Linked DNA regions of Caenorhabditis elegans. The protein of the gene in region 1 interacts with the protein of each later gene in a pairwise test. Each region holds a gene or a part of one and is shown in the gene's direction. Other genes may lie near its edges.

Region 1 (7,810 bases):
GAAAATAATTCATTCTTCAAATGTCTTTAAACAGATTTCCAAAATTATACTCTTTTTTCGGAGGTGGAAAAAGGGGAAGCTTGAGCATCGTCGCAATTTTAATTTAAAAAATTACCATTCCAATATTATGTGTTTCATGCAGTTTTTAATAACATCCTTTCTATTTTCAAAAAATTCCAAAAATTGAACTTTTCCACAATTCCAATGAAAAAATAGTACTGTTTCAAACTTTTGATTTACAACTTCAAGTTGCAATTTTAATAATCGTCAGCTTCTATAAATAAAAAATTGAATCGAGAATTTCTGCATAAACATGTTTTTTACAGTTTTTAATTACCGTATTTCCTGTTTTAATAAAAGACTAATAAAGGAAAAACGGTCTAATTGTAAGTAGAATGAAAAAAGTCACAAGTTTTTCGTTAAATTTAATTTTTGAATATAAATTTTAATTTGATTTCAAAGCTATATTCTAAATGATGTAGAGTAAGAAAAATAAAGTTAAAATCACTGTTTCACAAAATGTTCAAAATAAAAACTTTCAACAAATTTCCATTGGTTGGTTTCTCTTCTTTTACTTTTTAGCATTTTCAAAGTACTTTCAGCGGTTTCAATATATTGTTATAAAATGTGAAATAACGTTATTTTTAATACTAACATATTAAATGTCATAAGTCTAAATGAGTTTGTTAGCTGAAATTTTGATTAAAACTTCAATATAAAAATGTTTCCAGTAGTTTTTAAATATACGTAGGACAAAAAAAAAGAAATTTTTGAAAATAAAGAAAATCTGGCTTCTTTGGTACTTTTCGTCTAAAAAAACTTTCAACACATTTCCATTAGTTGTTTTCTCTTCACTTTCACTTTTTAGCATTTTCAAAGTACCTTCAGCGGTTTCAAAATATTGATATAAAATGTGAAATAAAGCTATTTTTTAATATGGTTTTTTTTTAATAAGTTTTTTTTCATAAGTCTAAATAAGTCTGTTATTTTTGAAAAAAAAGGATAAAAAAGAAACATGGATTTTTGGGTATTTTTCATTTGAAATCAATAATTTAAACTTTATAAAATATTTTGAACAATTAGATCATATGATTAGAAAATTTTAGAAAATCCGAGGATTTATATGCTTAAAATATTAATTTAAATGGCATTTCAAAACTATATTCTAGGAAATTTTAAGTAAGAAAAAATTAAATTAAAATTACCGTTTCACAAAATTTTCTAAACAAAAACTTTCAACACATTTCCATTGGTTGGTTTCTCTTCGCTTTTACTTTTTAGCATTCTCAAAATACCTTCAGCGGTTTTTCAACACACTTTCATTTTTTCGTCAGTATTTTTTATTCTGTAAATTTGACCTCTGGCTGATAACTGATATGTTATTACTTTCCCCTATGACTCACCCAGTGACACATTGTATCATGTGGCAGAATCTCAAATTTCACAACAAAATGATTCAATTCGTTTACAAAAAAAAATCCCAAACACTTTCTCGACCTCTTCCGGATATCAAAATAACAAAAACCTTTTCCTTTCCAACTCCGCCCTTTTTTTGAGAGGGATAATAGGAGTTATGGAGGGCGGAGAGACAAAGAGAAAACCCCGAAAGAAAAGTGTATAAAACGTCTGAGCGACGGCGGCTGGTCGCTCTTAGTTGTCAACAAAACAAATCTTGACAGCCAAGCGAAAATGATGAGGAGTTCGTTTTTTGTTCTTCTTGCTTTGATTGCCCTTTCTCAGGTTAGTCTGTTTCGAGTTCTTTGTAAAAAATAAGTGATTTTTATCCTAAATTGATATCATTTTCATACTTTGTTTTATATTTTTTCGGCTTATTTAGTGAATTTTGATCCAAGTTAGGCCACGGCGCACGCGGTGCGGTTGCGTCGCGGTCGATACGCAATATATCATCAGTATCAGTATAGAGCAGCCCAAACATTTTGAAATTTTTTGGCAAAAATCATGACGCTTCAGGCAACTAATTTTACACTAATTTTTGTTTGACACTGCAAGAATATATCTAAATTTTTTCAAAATAAGAACGTATCGCTATGACACTAAAGTCGCAAAACATCTAAAAATAAATCATGTTGTTGAAACTGCACCTAATGTTTTTTTTGGATTTTTGCGTATGTAAATAGTTTTCGAAGAAACAAAAGTCATCAGATACTGCAAATTAAAAAAAAAGAACTTTAAACAGTCGCCGATTTATTTTCCAAAATTGATTATCGAATTACACAAAAATTAGCGTCTAATCCAATGACACTAAAGTTGCAAAAAATCAAAAAAAAAATCATATAGTTGAAACTGTAATCTGATTTTTTTTGAACCACCAATTGTTTAATTTAGAATTCACAACTTTTTACAAATTCACAAAACTATGCTGTACCTTTTTTGGGATTCTGTTTTTTTAATATTTTACTATTTTTGAACAAGCAAAAGTCATCAGATACTGCAAATTAATAAAAATGAACTTGAAACATTCTTTGATTTTTTTTTCCAAAATTAACTATCGAATTACACAAAAATTGGAAAGTTTCGGCTGTGTTGCCGCTCTCGAAATGCAACTCAATTGCTCCGTATCACTCAAAACTAAACTACCTTTCTCGAACTAAAACGGTCTAATGTAATGACACTAAAGTTGCAAAACATCAAAAAAATAAATCATATAGTTGAAACTGTAACCAAATTTTTTTTGAAACACCAATTGTTATATTTAGAATTCAAAACTTTACACAAATTCCAAAAACTAGGCTTTGCATTTTTTGGGTACCGATTTCGGTTTTTTTCTTGGATTTTGCAAGTTTAAGCGTACGAGCAAAAGTCACCAAACACTGTAAATTAAAAAATGAACTTGAAACCTTCGCTAATTTTTTTTTTCAAAAATTTCTATACAAGCTATCAGCTAGATTATCGAATTGCAAAAAGTTTGAAAGTTGCGGTCAATACGCGATGCGACCGCTCCGCTTCACTCAAAACTAAACTACCTCTAACTTCATTCAATTTCACTCGATTTCTCCAGAATTTTTGGAACAAATTCAAAAATGCTCGAGCTCAAAAAAAACAACAATTTTCCCCCAAACTTTCACGTATCCCCTGGGCCTCCTGGTGCTCATAAATTTCAGCGCGTAGTGTAATCAACAGACAACGACACAAAATCTCATCTTCTTCCCCCTCACCTAGATACTTCTTTTCAGTATATCATTTATCACTCTGTGTTATCAAAAAAAGAAAGAGAGAAAAAAAGAGACAGTTGCTGTTATTTCTTTCATTTTTCCCCGCTCGATTGTCGTCATTTCAATTTGATGTAGTGATCAATACGGAAGGAACACGGGAGTTTGAACAAAAGATTAGAGAAGGGGAAGTGTTGAGCAAAGTTTTAATAGTGTATTTGACTAAAAATGATATTGAAAGCCTCACTTTTTCAAATATTCAGAAAAATGCATAACACGAAACAGATCGAATTTTAAAAAAGTTTGATTTTACAAATTGTGTGCCGCATTTTTCTCAGATATTTTATAAGAGTTAAATTTCTTTTATTATTACTGATTTCTCTGACCTTAGTTTTTTGTTAAATAAAATCAATTTAAATAACATTAACTTAATTTTTCATGAGTTAAACATCACGATTGTCTCCGATTATATTGTAACAACTTATTAGACATTTTGAAACGGGAAAAATTGTGGCACATTGAAAGAAATTTTAGCTTTCTTTTTTTTTTCTAATGTCTCTATATAAAGAAAATTTTGAATAGGTAATTCATTGTGTTTTTCAAACAGTTCCAACTTTTTGAGACGTCTAGTTAGACTGACCGATTAATGCGTTGTCAAATTAATTAATTTTGAAAAAATTAAGAATCACCATCTCAACATAACTCTCAAAACTGTACTACGTAAATGCATTATATGAAAGTGCAAACAATTTTTTCAAAAATTCAAATTAATTTCAGACCAAATCAACTTTTCTCTTATTTTACAAAACCCAACAACTCATTAATATTTCAAGAGACAAAATATTTTAAGGTAACTTTTATGAGTAGAGTGATTTTTTTAAACAAGAAGTAGTATCAGAGACGTCTGCAAATAATTTCTGAACTAAACTTTTAAAATTTCTTTACATTTTTTTATTTCAAATTTTTTACAGTTTCAATTAGTGCATATCATTTGGGTTGCCTTTATTTTTATAATAACTGACGATACGGCAATATCTGGGAAAATTTTTAATGGAACAATTGAAACCTGCACAGCTGTACCGCTTAAATGTAATATATGAAACAGTTCCCGAATTTCAAAAACGGTTTTTTTTGTTGGAAAATGTGTTGACTGTTCCTTTTCTTTGTTAGTAGCAGCTTGAATTTTCAACTTATAATGGTCGTGGATATGTCGGAACAGTTTTCCAATTTTTGAATATTTTATACAGTTTTATTTTCGAACATAAATTTCAATAGTTCCAATTTTCCACAGTTTCTTATTCCTTATTTATATGTCACTCAAATTATTTTCAGCGTTAATCGGAATTAATCGGAAAATTTTGGGGGAAAAAAACCAAAGCACATAAAAAATCAGCTTCCTACTTTATGTTGCAATGTGAAAAGGTTTCAAATTTTTTTACAGTTTCAATAAGTGTATATAATACGAGTATCCCTTATTTTCATAGTAATCTAGACATAGTCTTTTCCAAAAATCCAAATTTTCGTAAGACGAATAATTCGATAACACAGTACGAAAAGTTTTTTTTTTCTAAATCTAAGATTCCTAGTTTTGAACACGGAAATTTTTTTGAAATATCTCTCATTTTTGAAGAAAAAAGTTGTTGTCAAGGCTATATCTGCAAAACTTTTAAATAGAAAATTTAAAAAAAGATACCGTTTCAACAATTCTATATCAATCAACCTGCTTGCTTCTTACTAATTTAATTAGTATTCTTCAAGGCCATAGTTCGTCGTGATGCCTCCGGTCCAACACTTGTGCTCCGTGACAACTGTAAGATCATTCCAGCCGGTGGATGCTCCTGTGACGTCAAGGAGGGAAACGATGAGGTTGTGATCCGTGAATATGACAGTGTTGATCAATGTAAGAAGTCTGTGGAAATGGCCACAGCTGAGAACAAGAAGGATTTGAACGAAGAAATCAAACAAAAATACGGAGATTTCAAGGAAAACTGTTTCCCAAAACCATCGGGTGGATGCAAGTGCAACGTGGATCTTGGACATGGTGAGGAGGTGGCCGAGTACTCCGCAGACGCTGATTGCAAGAAATCCATTGAATCAGTGACAGCTGAGCACAAGAAAGAGCTCAACGAGGAGATTAAGGAGAAATTCGGAGCATTCAAGGAAAACTGCTTCCCAAAGCCTTCCGGTGGATGCAAGTGCAATGAGAAAGACGCCAATGGAAATGAAGTTGTGACTGCCTACAATAACCCAGATCAATGCAAAGTTCGTGGAAAGAGAGATGTCGGAGCAACAGTTCAACGTCAACCAGCCAATATTGCCAGAGCTAATGTGAAAGATGTGAAGCAGGCTCAGCCAAATTATGACGTCAGAGATCCAGTGAGGTTAGTTGTTGCAACTAAAAAGTCAGCAGCATCGATACAAGAAATTACTTAAAACTATTTACAAACTATTGGAAACAGTATTTTTTCTCGAATGCATGTTCAACAAACTCCAGGATTTTGAAAAATTTGAAATAAAAACCCTGTTTCAGATAATTTGTACGAGTTTCTGAACAATTTATTTTTTCGATGCCACAGTCGGTTATTTTATCCAATTTGAAAACTTGAAATTAAGAAAAAATTAATGAGCTCAGAATTAGTTTTTTCTGGATTTTCTTCCAATTTTCAGCTGGCTCTTTTTAGCTAGAAATTGAAGTCAAAATATTGTTTCAGCAAATATTGTCTCGTTAACTTCCGAAAAAATAATGTTTTTTTTTCAATTTTTAAAATTAGAAATCTATATTTATAGATGGTGTTACCAAAAATACATTTTTGTACACAAAGAGCAAAATCATTTGGCCAATTTATATGTGTACACGACACAAATAACCAGAGTTCAAGGTGTGTTGAACCAGTCTAGTCAAATAAAGAATTGGAAAAAAATTAATGGTGTTTTTTTAACGTTTGGAATTTTTTGAATTGAACATGCAGTTATTATCACTAATTAATCTAGAATGAAAATAATTAAAAAAGATTTGAAACAGTAAATTGTTTTTTTTCAACTATTTTAAACGGATGTTCTAGTGCACTGCATTTCATTTCCTCTATGTTTTCAACTTGAATCGAAAATTCCTATAGACATAAATCCAGTTATTTTGAAAATTTGAATATTTTTGAAGCAGTGAAATTCGAGAAAACAATTTTCGCACTAAAATTTTTTCACAGTTTCAAATTTTAAACATTTTATAATCAGTATTTCCTCAATGTTAAGAAACTACAGTCAAAAATTTCCGAAAATTTGAATAAATCCCACAATCTAAACCCAAAAAATGTTTATCGTAAAATTATCACTATTTCACATAAGTTTCTATTCTAAATATTTTTTATAAAATTTTCTAAATCAATATTACACAATGTCAAAAATCTGAATTCAAAACTCGAACTTCGATGCTTAAAAAATACTCACGGTTTCAAATTTTAGTAACAAATTAGCGCTTTTTCTAATTTTTTTAAAAAATTGAATTATCGATGAAAAACTAAGATAATATGTTTTGTACCAAATTATATTTTAAATTAAATGTTCAAAATTGCAGTCACTATTTCTGACTCTTTAACAAAAAATATAAAACAGTGGAAATTTTTTGAAAAAGTAAAAGTTCTGGGTAATGCTTTCAAAAAGTTCGCAAAGCCCGTAAACTTTAAAAAATGGTAAAATTTTTTAAATTTTCTAATTTCTCTCGTGTTCAGTTTCATCTGTCTTAGAAGTTATCAAAATTAATCAAAAACTATTACAGAGAGCGCGCCCAAGCCAACTACGCCGCAGTCGTCGATGAGCTAAAGAACAAGTTCAAGGGGCTTAAGGAAGGATGTTTCCCAAGACCAAAAGGATGTCTCTGTGTTATTGGAAAAACTCCAGAAGGACGTGATATTACTGAGAGAAGAATGAAGGATGTTGACTGCAAGTGCAAGGAAGGAGAACGTGGACCTGAGTGCCCAGCTAACTAATTTTTTTTTTGGAACTTTTCAATTAAAAACAAACATTTAATGTTGATACTCTTGCCCAATATATATACATTCTAAAAACATTTATTTTTTGGGTTTTTTTGTGTAATAATTTGGACCAAATAAATTTTGCACTGAATGAATTAATTGTTCAGCATCAAACCCACTTGCAGTGTCTTTACAGTACCCTACCGTAGTCGATTTGGGAGACACAGATACCTCGAACAGATATTTATTATATAAAAGCTAGGGCTATTTATTTATATAAAAGCTAGGGCGGCGACTGTCGCCTGCTTTTCGCCTCAATCCGCGCCTCATGTAAATTCACGCCAAAATTAAAGTGAGGAGGCAGGTGTCAGGCAGGCGTCAGGCAGGCGTCAGGCCTTGAAACCACGCCTGCCTTCCATAGAAGCCCTATGAAATCCTAGTTTCAGTTCGTGTATTGTATATTATTTGGCCAAAAAAAATTTGCGATTTGATAAGATACAATTTTTGAATAAACTTTTTTCAACAATCATCTGTTTCAGATAGTTTATAAAACTTATAGCAAACAGCATTACTCAATTCTCAGAATTCCAGATGTGTTGAACAATTGTATTTATATTGTGAGTAGTATTTTCAATTTCGAGTCAGCATATAATTTTTATGAAACAGTATTTC
Region 2 (4,855 bases), on another chromosome or scaffold:
TTTCCGCCACTCGTGATCAATCGTAATGGAGCATTGATTTTGGATCGCTGCTCATTTTTCGAAGTTTTCGCTGAGGCTTCAATGCGAAGGAGATGCCAGGAAAGCTGTAAGTTGGAGGTTTTATTTTAAGCCTATTTTAACAATTTGAATATCAGATGTTTTTTTGAAAATTTTAAAAATCCAACTATGTATTTTTCCTGAATATTTTTTTTCTAATCACATTTTTTAAGATTCATCTTTGATGAGATATTTTTAGATTTATAATTATTCAAATTGATTCTAGAAATGTTTCTTTTTAAAAATTCACCTGCTTAAACATCAATGTTCTATTTGTCTCCGAGCACGTAATTCTAGTCTGACGCAAGTCTTTCACTTGAGCCCATCCTGGACTTCTGCTCTCCACTGACAATCGTTGAAGCTGAAAAATTTCATTAATTAAAACATTTTCCGGCTGAGCAAACACAAACCATAAATGAGCCTCCGAATACGTCGGAATCAAAGTTAATTTCTACAGAACTTATATACAAAGACATGTTTTCGATGATTTTGTTCATGAAGCCGTATGAACTGCTGTCACCGAGATTTCTGCAAAAACGTGAAGGGTTTAATTTCGAAAATGGTAGAACTATGCTTACCCAAGTGGATTTGATTTTGCCTGTTTTTTATGCTCATTGGTAAGCTCCACATCCACATTGATTTCATCAATGAACTGAAATTATTTTTACGATTATAAAAGCATGAATTTGAATGAAAAAGGAGTTTATGTGAGACTATGACACTTTTCAAAATATTTATAACTTTTTTTTTACAAAATAGAAAACGTTATCAAAAATGCAACATTTGGCAGATTTAATTTGTCTGATATAATTATTCAAAATACGAGAATAAATTTGTCTACTTCAATTTCTAATTCAAAAAAAAGAAAACAACCTACAATCTGAATTGGGCAAGTTTTCAATTTGGTCCATGGTACATTCACAGCTACACCTGTACAGAATGCTCGTTTGATTTTCAACCACGAAGGAAGCTCCTGAAATTTTGAGTTTATGCAAGGAAAGCATGTACATTTAAAACTCACCAAAATCTCTGTCAAAACATCTTCGTTAATTTCAATAAACTGAAGTTTACTATTTCCTTTTAACACGTCTAAGGATATCTGCTCGGGCTTCAAGTTTTTTGTGAATCTGAAAAAAAGTGAATTTTTTGAGGGTGCAAACTTGATTAAATTCCATAGTAAAACTTTTCAAAAAAAATTTGAAATTTTATACTTATTGTCACAAGTAGCAATTACCAAGATATTTTTGGTTTTTTTAAGCGATTTGGAGCATATTTTGGCAAAATTCCCAGTGGCGTTACAAAAATTTTAACATCCATTTTATCAACTAAACAAGGAGGGTATTATTTGAGAAAAAATATGTTTGACGTTGTCATCGATTTTTAATATTTTTCAATACACTCAAAAATTAACTTACTTGGATAAATGTTTGACTAGCTGGTTTTTGATTATTGACGTCATCTTCGGTGTACAATTCTGCAAAAAAAATCGATTTTCAGGTGCGAACTACAAAAAACTACATAAATACACAGAAAATCATCAATAGAACATATTGAATCAAAAACAATGTGCTCATTATTTATGCGAAAATGCATTAATTGTCCAAATTGCGACTATCGGTTTTTGCCAATGGAGCGCGTTTGGCACACGCGGCGGTGTATGCTTGGGAGGGTGCGTGCGCGCGTCGGCATGCCAATTCTCTCAACGTGTTTGTGCTTGGCTAGCCATTGCTGCTTTTTGATAAGAATAGAAACGCGTTTTGGCGTGAGAAAAAAGACCGGATATAGATTTTGAAGATTAGAATTAGAATTTTTCCCTTTTTTTAAATTGTATTTCAATATAAAAATATAATTTGATTAGAATTTTTTGTTGTTGCTCATTGAACGTTTATATAATAAAAAAGAAAGTAGAAGTAGTCAATCAACAAATTTGTTTATCGTTTGTATTAATCGTTTTCTCTGTCATTATTTCTCTAACTCATCGTGAATTTGATTGTAGATAAGCAGGAGAGCAGTCGCAGAGCACAGGCAAAATGGGGGACGACGGGTTCCTCGATCAATACCCTGCCAACACCGATGCGGGCATTGGCACTGTGCACAGCTGCCGCTACTCAAAACAAAAAAATCCGGTGCAGAACAACGATTTTTTATCGTGCTCCATGTGCATACAGTGAGTTTATTCTACTTTTTTTGTTGCAAAATGAAACATAAACCGATCTTAATTAGGAAAAAAGTCAAATTTTACAGCAATTCAGTGGAAAATAAACTGAACGATTACGTGGGAAAATGCAATTTTTACACTTTCCTTGTCTAGTAACACAATGAACAAAAAATGAAAAGAGAAAGTTTTGGAACGATACATTGAAGGTGTTAAATACAATTTGTTTGCAAGGAAGTAAATGTCACAAGTACATCAATTAAAAAATAAAACTATATTTATCGTAATTTTTTGTTAAAACATGAAAGATCATGTAGACACAGATTAGTAGATTACATTAATAGTAAAAGTTAACAAATTTTCATTTTTCAGCAATGGACCCATCAAACTCTACGGTATTTTTTCCGGATTTAATGGTGGCGATTCAACAGCGAAGTTTGTCATGAACAGATTGGTATATGAGATTTTTGGAGAAAATCCAATTACACCAACACTACTCCCTTATCAAGTGATTTAACAATCAAATTTTCAACTCTACAACTACATTTTCAGGTGGTGGAAGAATTTAAACGGAAATTTGAAAACGTTGCCGAGCGTTATTTGTTGATGAACACCGATGATTTGAACAATCGACTGTTAAAGTTGGAGGAACAGTCGGAAACTGGAAATAATGCAGTATCGGAAATCAATCAAAAAGTTAGACTAAATTTTGAAATTATTATAATCTCCCAAATTTTCAGATTCGCCAAGGTACCACTGCCATAGTAGTCATGATCATTAACCAGGACCTATATGTGCTAAATTGCGGAAACTCTCTGTAAGATTTTTGAAACTGTTTGTTAGGAATTTTTGAAAAAAAAAAACTTTCAGCGCAATTGCTATGAACAGTGAGAACGTAGTGCAGCTCAACTCAAATCTACACAATAATGACAATCCTTTGGAGATTGTACGAATAAAAGGGCTAGGGATTAATCCGGAGGTAATTAATTTTTTTTGTAATAATTTTACAAAATAAGTTTACAGACAGTTCTGAATCCAACTAGAGCGATCGGTGACTTACAACGAACCCACCTGTTTGAAGAGACGGAAGCTTTCAAGAATGCAAAAGGACCACCGGTTATTTCTACTCCAGATGTTCAGTATACAAAGGTTTGCTATGATGAAATGTTGTTCTGGAACATTTTACGAAAAACAAGATAAAAGATCAAATTCAATGAAAATATTAGTCACAACACCTCAGATTTGATTACAAAATGAGAACATGTTTTCTTTTCTTTTTTTAAATGCTTATTTTCCAACCAACAGGTAACTTCTACTTTTAGATCGACCCATCCTGGAGACATTTGGTTCTGATCTCCGACGGTGTAGTTCAGAATCTTAAGGAAGTTGAAGTTGAAAACATCCCAACGTAAGTAGCAAACTTATGGAACTTTTTCGTCAATAACCAAGTCACACGTTTATAAAAATAAAAAATAAAATTTTCATCGATTCCCCAGTTTTCAGAGAAGTATCCGTTCGACTAATTGAAGATCACACAGTTACAAGTACAGCGCAGGCATTGGTAGACTCGTTTGCAAGAAAGCATCGCGATGCTTACACGGTTTGTTGGATTTACCCTTTTTTAGATAAGCAAATTTGAATACAATTTACAAAATTTTACCTATTTCTTCTCAATTCAATTAAATTTGTTCAAACATTGGGCGGATGTATTTTGCTATTCCACATTGCCATATTATTTTTATTTTATTTTCAGATGAGCGACGATAAAAATTTCTGTATCAGTAATCACAGAGAGGAAATGACTGTGATTTATGTGAAGCTCGAGGAAGATTACCAAGCGGCTCTTTACGAACAATTCGATTCAGCGATTTCGACAATGGAATCTACAAATGCAACATTGTATGAGCCCTGCTCGACACCATATGTCGATGCTACCAACTTCAATTCTGGAAAAAATTATGAAAAGATGAAGAAACTACTTCTAACTCGACCTTCAAAATAAATATTGTTGCTAGTAAATATAAATATTTGTTATCATGTATTATGTGTTATTTTTGCGGGGAGTATGATTATGATGCTTTCATTACAAATGTAACGTTATATGTGCCTATGTGGTGCCATGTGCCAGGATGTCCCATCACGGATTGATCTAGAAAAATAGCGGGATTTTTTCGCCCAAAAAAAATGCGACGTCAGCGCGTTCTTAACCATACGAAATCAGTGGAGAACTCTGCGTCCCCTTCTCCCGCATTTTTTGTATTATTGATCTACGTAGATCAAACCAAAATGAGTAACTCTGACACCACTTGTGTGCCCTGTTCGACACCTTACGTGGAAGCTACCAATCTCAACTCTGGGAACAATTTTGAAAAGATCAAGAAACATTTTTCAAGTCGACCGTCAAAATAATTTCTATTGTTGCTACTACATAGATCTAAACTTTTCTTTTCCTATTTCTTTGTTTTATTTTGAAAAAAAAATCTCTGACGAGAGATGCGGGGGAGGAGTTGCTTGAGCTGGTGTGAGATCAAATTTCTTGAATTTCACATCAACGCTTTTGTCCTGATTTTGAGACTAGATTTTTCCGTATTGGTCTTTTTCTGCATTTCAAAAAACAAGACGCAAATTCTGTTACATAATTTA

What was found.
Region 2: the proteins of ccg-1 (region 1) and tap-1 interact in a two-hybrid assay, tested with the Caenorhabditis elegans proteins (one large-scale study listed by BioGRID).

What each region holds. Positions count from the first base shown.
Region 1 is NC_003282.8:15,269,641-15,277,450, reverse strand, and holds ccg-1 (Conserved Cysteine/Glycine domain protein), read left to right. Parts: upstream 1-1,646; 5' UTR 1,647-1,689; coding exon 1,690-1,740; intron 1,741-1,794; exon of another isoform or gene 1,795-1,815; intron 1,816-2,030; exon of another isoform or gene 2,031-2,054; intron 2,055-2,128; exon of another isoform or gene 2,129-2,149; intron 2,150-2,241; exon of another isoform or gene 2,242-2,262; intron 2,263-2,411; exon of another isoform or gene 2,412-2,432; intron 2,433-2,611; exon of another isoform or gene 2,612-2,632; intron 2,633-2,793; exon of another isoform or gene 2,794-2,814; intron 2,815-3,389; exon of another isoform or gene 3,390-3,410; intron 3,411-3,605; exon of another isoform or gene 3,606-3,626; intron 3,627-3,845; exon of another isoform or gene 3,846-3,866; intron 3,867-4,181; exon of another isoform or gene 4,182-4,205; intron 4,206-4,207; exon of another isoform or gene 4,208-4,229; intron 4,230-4,366; exon of another isoform or gene 4,367-4,387; intron 4,388-4,505; exon of another isoform or gene 4,506-4,526; intron 4,527-4,654; exon of another isoform or gene 4,655-4,675; intron 4,676-4,908; exon of another isoform or gene 4,909-4,928; coding exon 4,929-5,551; intron 5,552-5,558; exon of another isoform or gene 5,559-5,586; intron 5,587-5,738; exon of another isoform or gene 5,739-5,759; and 11 more.
Region 2 is NC_003284.9:14,587,571-14,592,425, forward strand, and holds tap-1 (TGF-beta-activated kinase 1 and MAP3K7-binding protein 1), read left to right. Parts: upstream 1-2,053; 5' UTR 2,054-2,087; coding exon 2,088-2,224; intron 2,225-2,584; coding exon 2,585-2,720; intron 2,721-2,764; coding exon 2,765-2,908; intron 2,909-2,952; coding exon 2,953-3,029; intron 3,030-3,082; coding exon 3,083-3,191; intron 3,192-3,235; coding exon 3,236-3,361; intron 3,362-3,534; coding exon 3,535-3,620; intron 3,621-3,715; coding exon 3,716-3,812; intron 3,813-3,965; coding exon 3,966-4,214; 3' UTR 4,215-4,251; downstream 4,252-4,855. Other genes in the region: bltp-3B (Chorein N-terminal domain-containing protein), read right to left, coding at 1-104, 308-418, 468-585, 636-709, 935-1,030, 1,079-1,184, 1,473-1,516. UniProt on the Caenorhabditis elegans protein: Involved in the Wnt signaling pathway by regulating mom-4 kinase activity.